Linked DNA regions of Sus scrofa. The protein of the gene in region 1 purifies or fractionates together with the protein of each later gene. This does not show direct contact. Links are inferred from orthologs where the notes say so. Each region holds a gene or a part of one and is shown in the gene's direction. Other genes may lie near its edges. The genes, in order: RPL4, RRP1B and SERBP1.

Region 1 (3,149 bases):
GACAGTTGCCTGCTGTCAGTAAGCTGGTTCAGAAGGGTGACGAAAACTCCTACTGAGCAAGGCATAACCTGTTCTTAATTGCTAAAATTTGAGAAATGTAATTCTTAACTGGGAACATAGATGTGTCGTGGGGGCCGCATGTTTGCGCCAACCAAGACCTGGCGACGTTGGCATCGCAGAGTGAACACAACACAGAAGCGATATGCCATCTGCTCTGCACTGGCTGCCTCAGCCTTACCAGCGCTGGTCATGTCTAAAGGTTTGTGATATTTTATTTTCTATGAGTTGTATGAAATGCTCCTTTTTTCCTTCACCTGAAAGTTTTCATTGGTGTTGATACCTTGTATAAATTCTCTTCATCTTAGAGGGCCTGGCTAAATTTCCCTCTGCTAAATACTAGTTATGACCACTTCAGTCTAAAAACTCAGTCATTAATGAATACTTTGTACCTAGGGGAGTAATTCAAATACAGTGATTTGGTATATTGATACAACTGTCAAAATGATGAGATTCCACTTCATTGGTCCGTGTTTCTGAAAAACATGATATTTGTGAGAATTCTGATTTGGCAGATTGTATACCATTTTGATTTTGTGAGTTTGATGCAACTTATCAAAGGAATTGGGGTAACCACGTCTGCGTTAATTGGCTTTGTCAGGTCATCGGATTGAGGAAGTTCCTGAACTTCCTTTGGTGGTTGAAGATAAAGTTGAAAGCTACAAAAAAACCAAGGAGGCTGTTCTGCTTCTGAAGAAGCTTAAGGCCTGGAATGATATCAAGAAGGTAGGTTTTATAGTCCTTCACACAAATTTGTCAGATTTTAAATTTCAAAAGATTATTGGAGGGACAGTATAACTAAACCTTAGTGGATATGAGAGTGTAGAATCCTGAAACATCTGAATTTGAATCCTGAGTGCCGTTTGTTGCTATGTGTTAATGTTAGGCAAGCTATTCATGCCTTAAATTTCATCAACTGTAAAATGGAGTTTTTTAAATTATGAAGATCTGTTGCAAGGATCATATCTCAATATACCACACCCCACTTTGTTAGGTTTATGCCTCTCAGCGAATGAGAGCTGGTAAAGGCAAAATGAGAAACCGTCGCCGAATCCAGCGCAGGGGACCCTGCATCATCTATAATGAGGACAATGGTATCATCAAAGCCTTCAGAAACATCCCTGGTAAATCTTGTACTATTTATGTTTTAATTAGCCATACTATTCAAGCTTTTATTATGATGAGATTCCACTTTATGGTCCGTGTTTCTGAAACACATGATTTTGTGGAACTTCTGAATCTTGGCTGAATGAGTTTACCATTTATGGTTGAAATTCATAATTAAAATACTTCTCAGGTGCTATAAAGATGATTTGGGGGGGGGCTTCTGTTGTAATACAGGCTCCCTCATTCTTTTTTTCTTTAAAGGAATTACTCTGCTTAACGTAAGCAAACTGAACATTTTGAAACTTGCTCCTGGTGGGCATGTGGGACGTTTCTGCATTTGGACTGAAAGTGCTTTCCGCAAGTTAGATGAGCTCTATGGCACTTGGCGTAAAGCTGCTACCCTCAAGAGTAACTACAAGTGAGTATAATTTGTATACATAACACAAATGTTTATGCTGTGGATGTTGTTGAAGTTGGGTTGCATGTTTTCTGAATATGGGTTGTTGCCTTAATTCCCCTTGTGTAAAGATGCAATGTACTGAAATGGTGAAATAGTCTGAGAAATTGTAGTATAGTGGAAATTCTGATTGGATTCTGAGGAGCTTAAATGGTTAAAAGTCTTTTGTTGAGGGTCTCTAACCTGAGAAATCTGAATTGAGACTATTGTAAACATTTTCTCTTTTCTTTCAGCCTTCCCATGCATAAGATGCTCAATACAGACCTTAGCAGAATCTTGAAAAGCCCAGAGATCCAAAGAGCCCTCCGCGCACCACGGTAAAGTTGTGATACACACACTAATTCCTGCCCTATTTATTGGTTATTTAATAAACGTAGATAATGTAAATATTAACATAGTACCTACCGTTTTATAGCAAGAAGATTCATCGTAGAGTTCTGAAGAAGAATCCACTGAAAAACCTGAGAATCATGTTGAAGCTAAACCCGTATGCAAAGACAATGCGCCGAAACACCATTCTTCGCCAGGCCAGGAATGTAAGCGATAATTTTGAGTTTTCTTGATATGTTAAGTTGTGAAAATTGGAAGATGTGATTCTTAGATTTTCTCCTAATTTGTTGCAGCACAAAATCCGGATGGATAAGGCGGCAGCAGCACTGAAAGCCAAATCAGGTGAGAAGGGGGTTCCAGACAAGAAGCCCGTGGTAGAGAAGAAAGGAAAGAAGGCTATTGGCAAGAAGGCTGTTGGCGTTAAAAAGCAGAAGAAGCCTTTGGTGGGGAAAAAGGCTGTAGTGACCAAGAAACCAGCAGCTGAAAAGAAGCCTGCAGAAAAGAAGCCCACCACAGAAGAAAAGAAGGCTGTTGCATAAACTTAAATTTGTTTAGTCCATAAAAGTCAAATCACTTGGACAGCTAATTTTGAATAAAGACCTGATCAAAGCAGCAGTGTGAAACATGACTTACCTGTGTTGTGTGAATCTTGGTTAGAATTTTTTTACTGACACTTTTTTCCTCCATAATTCAAGCCATTTTGTCTGGTGTAAAACGGAGCCCTGGATTTCTGAGTCCTTGAAGTTGAATGAGAAGAAGCATGCTCCATATATCCAAATAAAAATTAATTTTGTGAGAAATCTCAGATTAGACAAACGATTAGGTTTCTGGAAAATGGATAAAGTTCCAGAAAGGATTGACATTTTTTGTAACCACAAGAGGGCAAAATCAGAATACTTTTTTTTCTTGTTCTTAAGTATAGCAATAGTGTGATAGGATACAATTGACAAAGGAAAGCCTGCCACCCTCTTTAATATTTGAAACATTGGTATGAAAAGTGCTGGGAACATTTACTCTTTACAGGGGGGTGAGTATGTTGACCAAACATGCTTTTGCAAAGAATGGCCCCTAACATTTTTCCAAAGCTGTTTATGCATTACCAACTTAGAACTAACCTGTCCTTCCCTGTTTAAATATGGTAGTGTCTTGTTTTGCATCTGGTTTTGTTCCTTCTGACATTTCTCAAGATTCATAGCTT
Region 2 (3,752 bases), on another chromosome or scaffold:
TCAGCTCCAAACTCCATTCGCGAAGGTCGAAGCTTTCTGACAACAGGCTCCGCCGGCGGCGGCGGCGGTGTCTGCCCCAGATAAGGGAGCCTCAGTCCGGCCAGCAGGTTAAGGAACTGAGACGACCCCATGGACTGGGAGACATCGTTTGGTCCATTCACTAGCCCCCATATGCCCACTGAGTTCGTAACATATGGTGCAAGCTCTGGGTTCAAAGGTACCGGTTACGGGAGTTCCCGTGGTGGCTCGGTGGTTAACGAATCTGACTAGGAACCATGAGGTTGCAGGTTCGATCCCTGGCCTCGCCCAGTGGGTTAAGGATCTGGCGTGGCCGTGAGCTGTGGTGTGGGTCCAAGACGCAGCTCGACCCCGAGTTGCCATGACTGTGGTGTAGGCCGGCGGCCATAGCTCCCATTAAACCCCTAGCCGGCGAACCTCCATATGCCGTGGGTGCGACCCTGGAAAAATACAAAAACACCAAAGAAAAAAAAAGGTACCGATTATCGCACAACTAGGACTTCTGTCCAAAGCCGGACACAAGCCGACACTGTCCGAGTGCCCGGAGTACGCGCTCTCCAGGCCCGCGGGTGCACGCACCAGCACACGCACCCAGTCCTCGCCCCGGCTCCGGGCGCCCCTCCAGCGGGCTGCCCGCAACCTCCCGCCAGAACCCCGTTCCCACCGCGGCCCGAGGAGGCCAACGTAAAAACCCGGTGCCGTGTATCTCCCGGGAACAGCTGCGGGTCGGTTGGATGGAGATTTTGTGAAGTGGGCAAGATTCCAGACCACGCAAAACTGGCCCTCCGTCTCTTCCCGGCCTACACCCAGCGCTGGCTAACCTCGCCCTCAACGGCCCGAGCCTTGGCGACCGAGAGGCAGCGGCGGCGGCGGAGAGGCGCGACGCGCACCGGAGGAGCGTCGCTCCGCCGGGGCCCGGCCCGCAGCTCGCGGAACGCTCTGCGAGCGGCGAGCGGCGCCTTTGTGACGTCATCAGCCCGCGCGCCGGCGCCTTCTGCGCAGTCGCGGCACGGCGGCGGGCGCTCGGCGGCGGCGGGCTGCGGCCGGGGATGCTCCAACGGGCGCGATGGCCCCCGCCATGCAGCCGGCCGAGATCCAGTTCGCTCAACGGCTGGCGTCCCACGAGAAGGGCATCCGAGACCGGGCGGTGAAGAAGCTGCGCCAGTACATCAGCGTGAAGACACAGAGGGAGACAGGTGGGCTCCCTGCGGTCCGCCGCGCACATGGCGGCCGGGGTGGGGGAGCGGGGGTGAGGGGAGGGAGCCGCGGTGGGGGGGGGGTCCTGGCGGGAGTGGGGGGCGGGCCCGGGGAGCCGCGGGCGGAGCGGGGAGAGCGTGCGGCACAGCCGTGTGCTTCTCTGTGTCCACTTCCTGCGGGGTCTCCACCGGTTCTCCGGTTGAGCGGCGGCGGCGGAGGGGGTTAGGTGGTCCGCTGAGGGTCCCGGTGAGCCGGAAAGCCGAGAACCGTCCCAGTCTGCCCTCCCAGAGCTTGCACGTGGGATCAGTGCACTCACCTGTTTGATTCTGGTGCGCTCTTCCTTGAGTCACGCCTTCAGTTGACCAGGACGGAGAAGTCCGAATCCCTACCCCCGAGGAATTTATCCCGGGAAATCTGGCGGGGGGGGGGGGGAATAGATAACTGAAACGGAACTCGTGTAAGTGGAGTAAAGGAAATGAAAACCGAGGAACGGGGAAGCTCCTCTCCAAAGACTGTTGCAGGGAGGCCTCTCGGGGTGATGTTCTCCAGATCTGAGCCGGGGCACGAATGAGGAGCTGGAAGAGCGGTAAGTGAGAGAGAGGGAGGGTGTTAGGACGCGAGTTGGGAAAGTAGGCAGTGGCCAGGTCACAGCGGGCTCTTCAGTTTGGGTTTTAACTGCAGCGGGGTGCCATTGAGGAATCGTATTTACCCGGTCCGGTGTAAACCTTTGAAGGCATGGATTACAGTGCGGTGAAGTTTTTTATTGCACTGAGGAAAAGTCCGATTTGCTGCTAGTGTTAATACATTGAGTCTGTTTTAAAGAATGGATGTCTCCCCCTGTGCTGATCGCTCAGTTAGCCTTCTTTTGAAGGCTTCTGGGAAAAAGAAGATAAACTCTCCTGGGAAGTCCTAGGAAGAGGAACGAAGCCAGACTTCCTGACTTCAAATCTGTTAGGGTCTTCCTGACAGACTTGATTTCCTCTTATTCCATAAATGTTGTGTGTTCCTAAACCGAACTTTCTAACCCAGACCTTTGCTGCTTGCAGCTCAGATATGCCCTTCCCACCTGGCACCTCCACCTGGATGTCCTCAGGCTTCAGAATGCCCCACAGAGGCTCATCTTCTTCTGCTCTTTTATTTTGGGCACTAGTTCCCATCCTCCACTCAGACTCCAGTTGGACGCAGGGTATATGGTCCTGGACGCCTCTTCCTCTTTTTGTCCCCCAGCCCTGCATCTAGTGTCCTTTGGTCGCATCTCCTAAATTTCTCTGCCCTTACTGAAGGCTCCTCCATCTCATCGAGGCTTTGACACGCTTACCTCCTAACTGATCTAACACCTGCATGTGTGCCCCCTTAAACCCACGCTCCATGAAACAGCCTGGCGCATCTTCCTGAAACAACTGTATCACCACCTTCCTGAAGTTCTGGCCTTGCTGGTGGTGACATGTCCTCCTCTGTCCCCCACCTCAGCCCCTGTGCGGCTGCTTCACACTGGGTCCTGGGCTACCGTACACCATTCCTCCACACTCTCCCACTTTCGCCTCTGTTCACTCTGAAAAGCTCCCCCGCCCACTTGATCCACTCACAGCAGTCAGTCCAGTATCGCTTTTCTGAAATGCCTTCCCTGTCCTCTCCCCCCACTTCTCTACAAGTCTGAAGTGTCTGATATGTCCCCATTGTGGCACTTAGCTTATCTGCTGATGTGTCGTTCTTCCCCCAAAATGCCGTAAGCCTCTGTCTGCTTCCTTAGCTGGAAGCGGGAGCACATCCCGAGGTCCCAGGGCTGCCAGGGCACAAGAACAGGAACCAGATGCAGAAGCACAGGGCTGAGGCAGCCGGACAGGACCCGGTGCTCAAAGCTCTGTGGGGAACAGGCTCTGGCTCTGAAGTGCTGAGGTGCTGCGGGGGCAGGAGGCCAGGGCATGCAGCGGTGCCCAGGGTCCTGCCTGGCGAGCGCCCATCACACCTCAAGCTGCTTCCTGTTAGACACCACATCCGCAGTCTGGGGAGCCGAGTGGGCCTCGAGGAAGGTAAACGCAAAGTGCATGTCGTAGGAGCTCCCTCGCAGCTCAGCGGGTTAAGGATCCAGCGTTGTCGCTGCTGTGGCTCTCGCCACAGCTGCGGTTGGGTTCGGGCCCTGGCCAGTGAACCTCCAAGTGCCGCGGGCACAACCAAAACTAAATAAGGTTTCGTTGACGGTGATGACGGGACGAAATAAACAAGATCCGTGCCACAGCTGTGCTCCATCAGAGTAGAAACAGGTGTGGAGGTAACTTGGCCTGACCTCTGAGTCTCACTAACAGGCTTAAGTTTTTGTATTTTGTTTTAGGCACAGTAAAGGCAGTGCGAAATGGCAGTCTTACTGTCTTTTAGCAACATAGATAGCTTTGATTTTTAGAAACAAATTGGAGTTCCTGTCATGGCTCAGCGGAAGCGAATCTGAGTAGCATCCATGAGGACTTGGGGTCAATCTGTGGCCTCGCGCTCAGTGGGTTAAGGATCCAGCATTGCCTTGAGTTGTGGTGTAGGTCGCAGAC
Region 3 (3,652 bases), on another chromosome or scaffold:
ACTCTTTACAAGCAGCCGGGCAATTGGGTGCATCCTGATGGTGTTACACTTTCTTAGCAAGAAGGAGAATGAGCCAGTTTAATTTCTTGTTATGAAGCCAATTCCTGAGGTGCTTTTTGATTTTGTCAGAAATCCGTGGTTTGGGAATTAGAGCATTCCTAAAATTTTACCGTCATGAATTTAACCATCAATCTACTTCTTATCCTTGAGGCCACCAGTAGTGCATATTGGTTGCCTTCTTGGCCTCTGACACTAATGGGAAAAAAATAAGGGGAATTCATCATTTAGTTTCTGTTGTTTCTTAACTATTGCTTAAAACGGCTCCGCGTGTGTGGTTTTTAAAGATTCTTTAGATACAAAGATACTTGTAAAGGCAAACTAAAAAAACCTCCCCATAATAATAAAATAACTGTTGTCATTTGTTTTCCTTTCAGTTTTATAATTTCATAGAATTATCAGTCTTTTTATTCAGCTGTTCCCCCCCCCCCCAGGTTATAGAAAATAATATGGCTTTAACTGTGGTGGGGGTGAGGGGGATGTCTTTATCTGGTGATGGCATTAATTTGCTTGATTATTTATGAATGGCTATTTGATATCTTTAAAACCAAAATGTGTCACTCGCCTTAAATAAGTTTAGAATTTTAAATTGAGACTAGTATCTTGAAAAGCAAGGGAAGTAATGGCTGTTCAGATAATTTCCAAGGCAGTTACAGAGAATAGTTTAGGAGAAAATGATTTGGCAAACTAAATGGAAGTTTAAAACAAGTATATTGTCTTTAGGAATTTTTCTAAAGTACTTTGTTACACCTCAGATGCCCACTTTCAGTCTTTTTCAACAGGAAGTTCTAGCTAGACTAGCACTGGACTTGGAGTAGCAGTTGGTAATTGGAGTAGCAATTTTTCTTTTAGCAGTCTAGGTCTAAATTTTTTGTGCTGCAAAAATAATTTGCTTATATGGATTTTTGTGTGTGTTTTTTTTTTTTTTTTTTTTTTAATTTAGGAATAAGACGTGTTGGAAGAAGACCTGATCAACAACTTCAGGGTGAAGGGAAGATAATTGATAGGAGACCAGAAAGGCGACCACCTCGTGAAAGACGATTTGAAAAGCCACTTGAAGAAAAGGGTGAAGGAGGAGAATTTTCAGTTGATAGGCAAGATTGTTTTTTAATCTCTTTATGTTTTGTCAGTTTATAGAGTCACATCTTAACACAAAACTATAAATTGAGCATAGTTGCCAGGAAACAGTGTGGCTGGTTAATTTTATCAGTAACAGTTTTTAGTATTCACACTTAGATTTCTTGTAATGAGGACACTTCAGTTGAATTGATGGACAATTTCTTTTCCTTGCTATCCCCAGATGTTGAGTTAAAAGGAAAGTCCTTTTGGGTAATTGTTTATACCAGAATAGATTATTTGTTTTATACAGGTTAGAAGTGTTTAAGTATATGATGAATAGCAGTTTTACTAGAGCATAATGAGTAACAAAGAAAAATATATTCTTTAGTAGTAAAGTCTAAGAGGATGTCAAAATAATTTTTTTTTTTTTTTTTTTTTTTTACTTTGGGGAGTTTCCTAGTTCTGATTGATTTCCTTTATGTATTTAGAATAGACTGTTTTGAACTTTCTAAAACATGTGTTCAACAGTTGGATATGAGCCAGTAAATATATTCTTGCCTTTTTGAGCCTTTGAATTTTCCTTAATCTTTTTTCCAAAACCTGGAAAAGTATTATGTTATATTTTTTATTTGTTGTAGACCGATTATTGACCGGCCTATCCGAGGCCGTGGTGGTCTTGGAAGAGGTCGAGGAGGCCGTGGACGTGGAATGGGCCGGGGAGATGGTTTTGATTCTCGTGGCAAACGTGAATTTGATAGGCATAGTGGAAGTGATAGATCGTAAGTCTTTTATTGGTTTTTATTATATTTTTATATTTGAGTATACTTCTTTAATAAAACAAAATTTGAATTTCTAGAACTAAAGAGTATTATGTTAACTCAGTTTTGTTAGTTCTTTTTCACATTACAGTGGCCTGAAGCATGAGGACAAACGTGGAGGTAGCGGATCTCACAACTGGGGAACTGTCAAAGATGAATTAACGTTGGTATTTTTTTTTTTTTTAATAATTTAAGTAAAATTGGTCTTATACCCTGTTAGAGATTTGCCCATAATTCTACTAAATTTTCACTTGTCCTTGGGAAGGAATGGGTGTTCTTATCTCAGAGCTACTTCCTTACAAGATAATGAATGCCTTGGTGGATATGTTTGGGTTATAATGTATTCAATGACCATTCTTCTGTGTTTCAAAAATATGTGATATTAATTTTTTGTATGGATATATAGCTTTTATTTAAATCCTATATTGACGTTATTGGGTATTTTGATGTTGTGTGTTTCTTATTTAATAATTCTTATTCTAGCTGTTAATCTTCTTGGTCATTATGAATTTGATAAGCCAGTGAGGCCTTATTTTAGAACTAATTGCTCTCTTGCACTAATTTTTGAGTAAAGTACTTGAACTATAAACTTGGATCAGTACACATTTTAGTATTTTTTTCTTAGTGGTCTACTGGGGAGTAAATTTTTTAAGAAAAAGCTTTGGGAATGTGAGATTTTAAAAATATTCTGTATAAAGAACCTTTCGGCTACATGTAAATGGACCTAGTTGCCTTTTTCTTTTCTTTCTTTCCCTAGAGAGTCCCCAAAATACATTCAGAAACAAATATCTTATAATTGCAGTGACTTGGAGCAATCAAATGTGACTGAGGAAACACCTGAAGGTGAAGAACATCCCGTTGCGGACACAGAAAATAAGTAAGTGATTTTTGTGTGTAGTGGTAATGTTCCAGCATTGAAATATTGGGCTTTACTAAGAAAACAACCTTTAGGCTTAATCCTATTATTTATTGCGTCTTAACAGGAGAGACTTAATTGTACTCCATTCTCTCAAATAGTGGTTAGAGGAATGCTTTACCCATGAATGTGTTGGGCTCTAATCGTTTGACAAATAGAAGTGGTTATTTCTATTTGAAATTACCATTGCCATCTTAAACAGATAAGGAAAATAGGTATTTTAGTAAAATCTGTTAGCCCTAAGCACAGAAATTAGCTGTTTTAACTGGAGAATGGAAAATAGAAATACTATGTCATGCATTTTACATACTTGATAGAGAAGTTATAATGGATAATTTCTAGTGCCAGCTGTTCAGAGGCATTGAATAGGGGGAACTAGAAGCTGAAATGGGGGTTTCTAACAATTAGACCAAGTGGTTGAAATATATGAGAACTTAAAGTATTTGGAAGTACTTAGTTTAAAGTACTTTGGACTCTGTAACTATACAGATTTTATTCTGAGACAGTTTATTACTAGAAGATGTGATCATTGTAAAATTAGCTCCTCCATCTCTTTGAGGGTTTTTTTCCCATCAACATAGATTTTGGAACATAATATTGGCTTGTTTTAACATGTTCGAGGAGAGCAGGGGCCAGAAGAATATGTTATCAGTTCACTAGCGTTCTTTATTATTCTTATTTTTTTTAATGGCCGCACCCACCACATATGGACGTTCCCAGGCCAGTGGTTCAATCTGAGCCATAGCAGCTGCAGCAGTGCTGGATCCTTTAACCCTCTGCACTTGGCCAGGAATCTAACCTG

The links.
Region 2: the proteins of RPL4 (region 1) and RRP1B purify together in Homo sapiens (affinity purification with mass spectrometry; 3 studies listed by BioGRID and IntAct, with this or other methods). This does not show direct contact. The link is inferred for Sus scrofa from reciprocal best matches to the Homo sapiens genes RPL4 and RRP1B.
Region 3: the proteins of RPL4 (region 1) and SERBP1 purify together in Homo sapiens (affinity purification with mass spectrometry; 3 studies listed by BioGRID and IntAct, with this or other methods). This does not show direct contact. The link is inferred for Sus scrofa from reciprocal best matches to the Homo sapiens genes RPL4 and SERBP1.

The regions. Positions count from the first base shown.
Region 1 is NC_010443.5:164,475,699-164,478,847, reverse strand, and holds the end of RPL4 (60S ribosomal protein L4), read left to right. Parts: intron 1-120; coding exon 121-259; intron 260-658; coding exon 659-783; intron 784-1,051; coding exon 1,052-1,181; intron 1,182-1,425; coding exon 1,426-1,582; intron 1,583-1,854; coding exon 1,855-1,938; intron 1,939-2,036; coding exon 2,037-2,157; intron 2,158-2,244; coding exon 2,245-2,490; 3' UTR 2,491-2,579; downstream 2,580-3,149.
Region 2 is NC_010455.5:206,628,165-206,631,916, forward strand, and holds the start of RRP1B (ribosomal RNA processing protein 1 homolog B), read left to right. Parts: upstream 1-1,011; 5' UTR 1,012-1,084; coding exon 1,085-1,214; intron 1,215-3,752. UniProt on the Homo sapiens protein: Positively regulates DNA damage-induced apoptosis by acting as a transcriptional coactivator of proapoptotic target genes of the transcriptional activator E2F1.
Region 3 is NC_010448.4:145,189,624-145,193,275, forward strand, and holds part of SERBP1 (plasminogen activator inhibitor 1 RNA-binding protein), read left to right. Parts: intron 1-1,000; coding exon 1,001-1,151; intron 1,152-1,754; coding exon 1,755-1,895; intron 1,896-2,007; coding exon 2,008-2,097; intron 2,098-2,691; coding exon 2,692-2,811; intron 2,812-3,652. UniProt on the Homo sapiens protein: Ribosome-binding protein that promotes ribosome hibernation, a process during which ribosomes are stabilized in an inactive state and preserved from proteasomal degradation.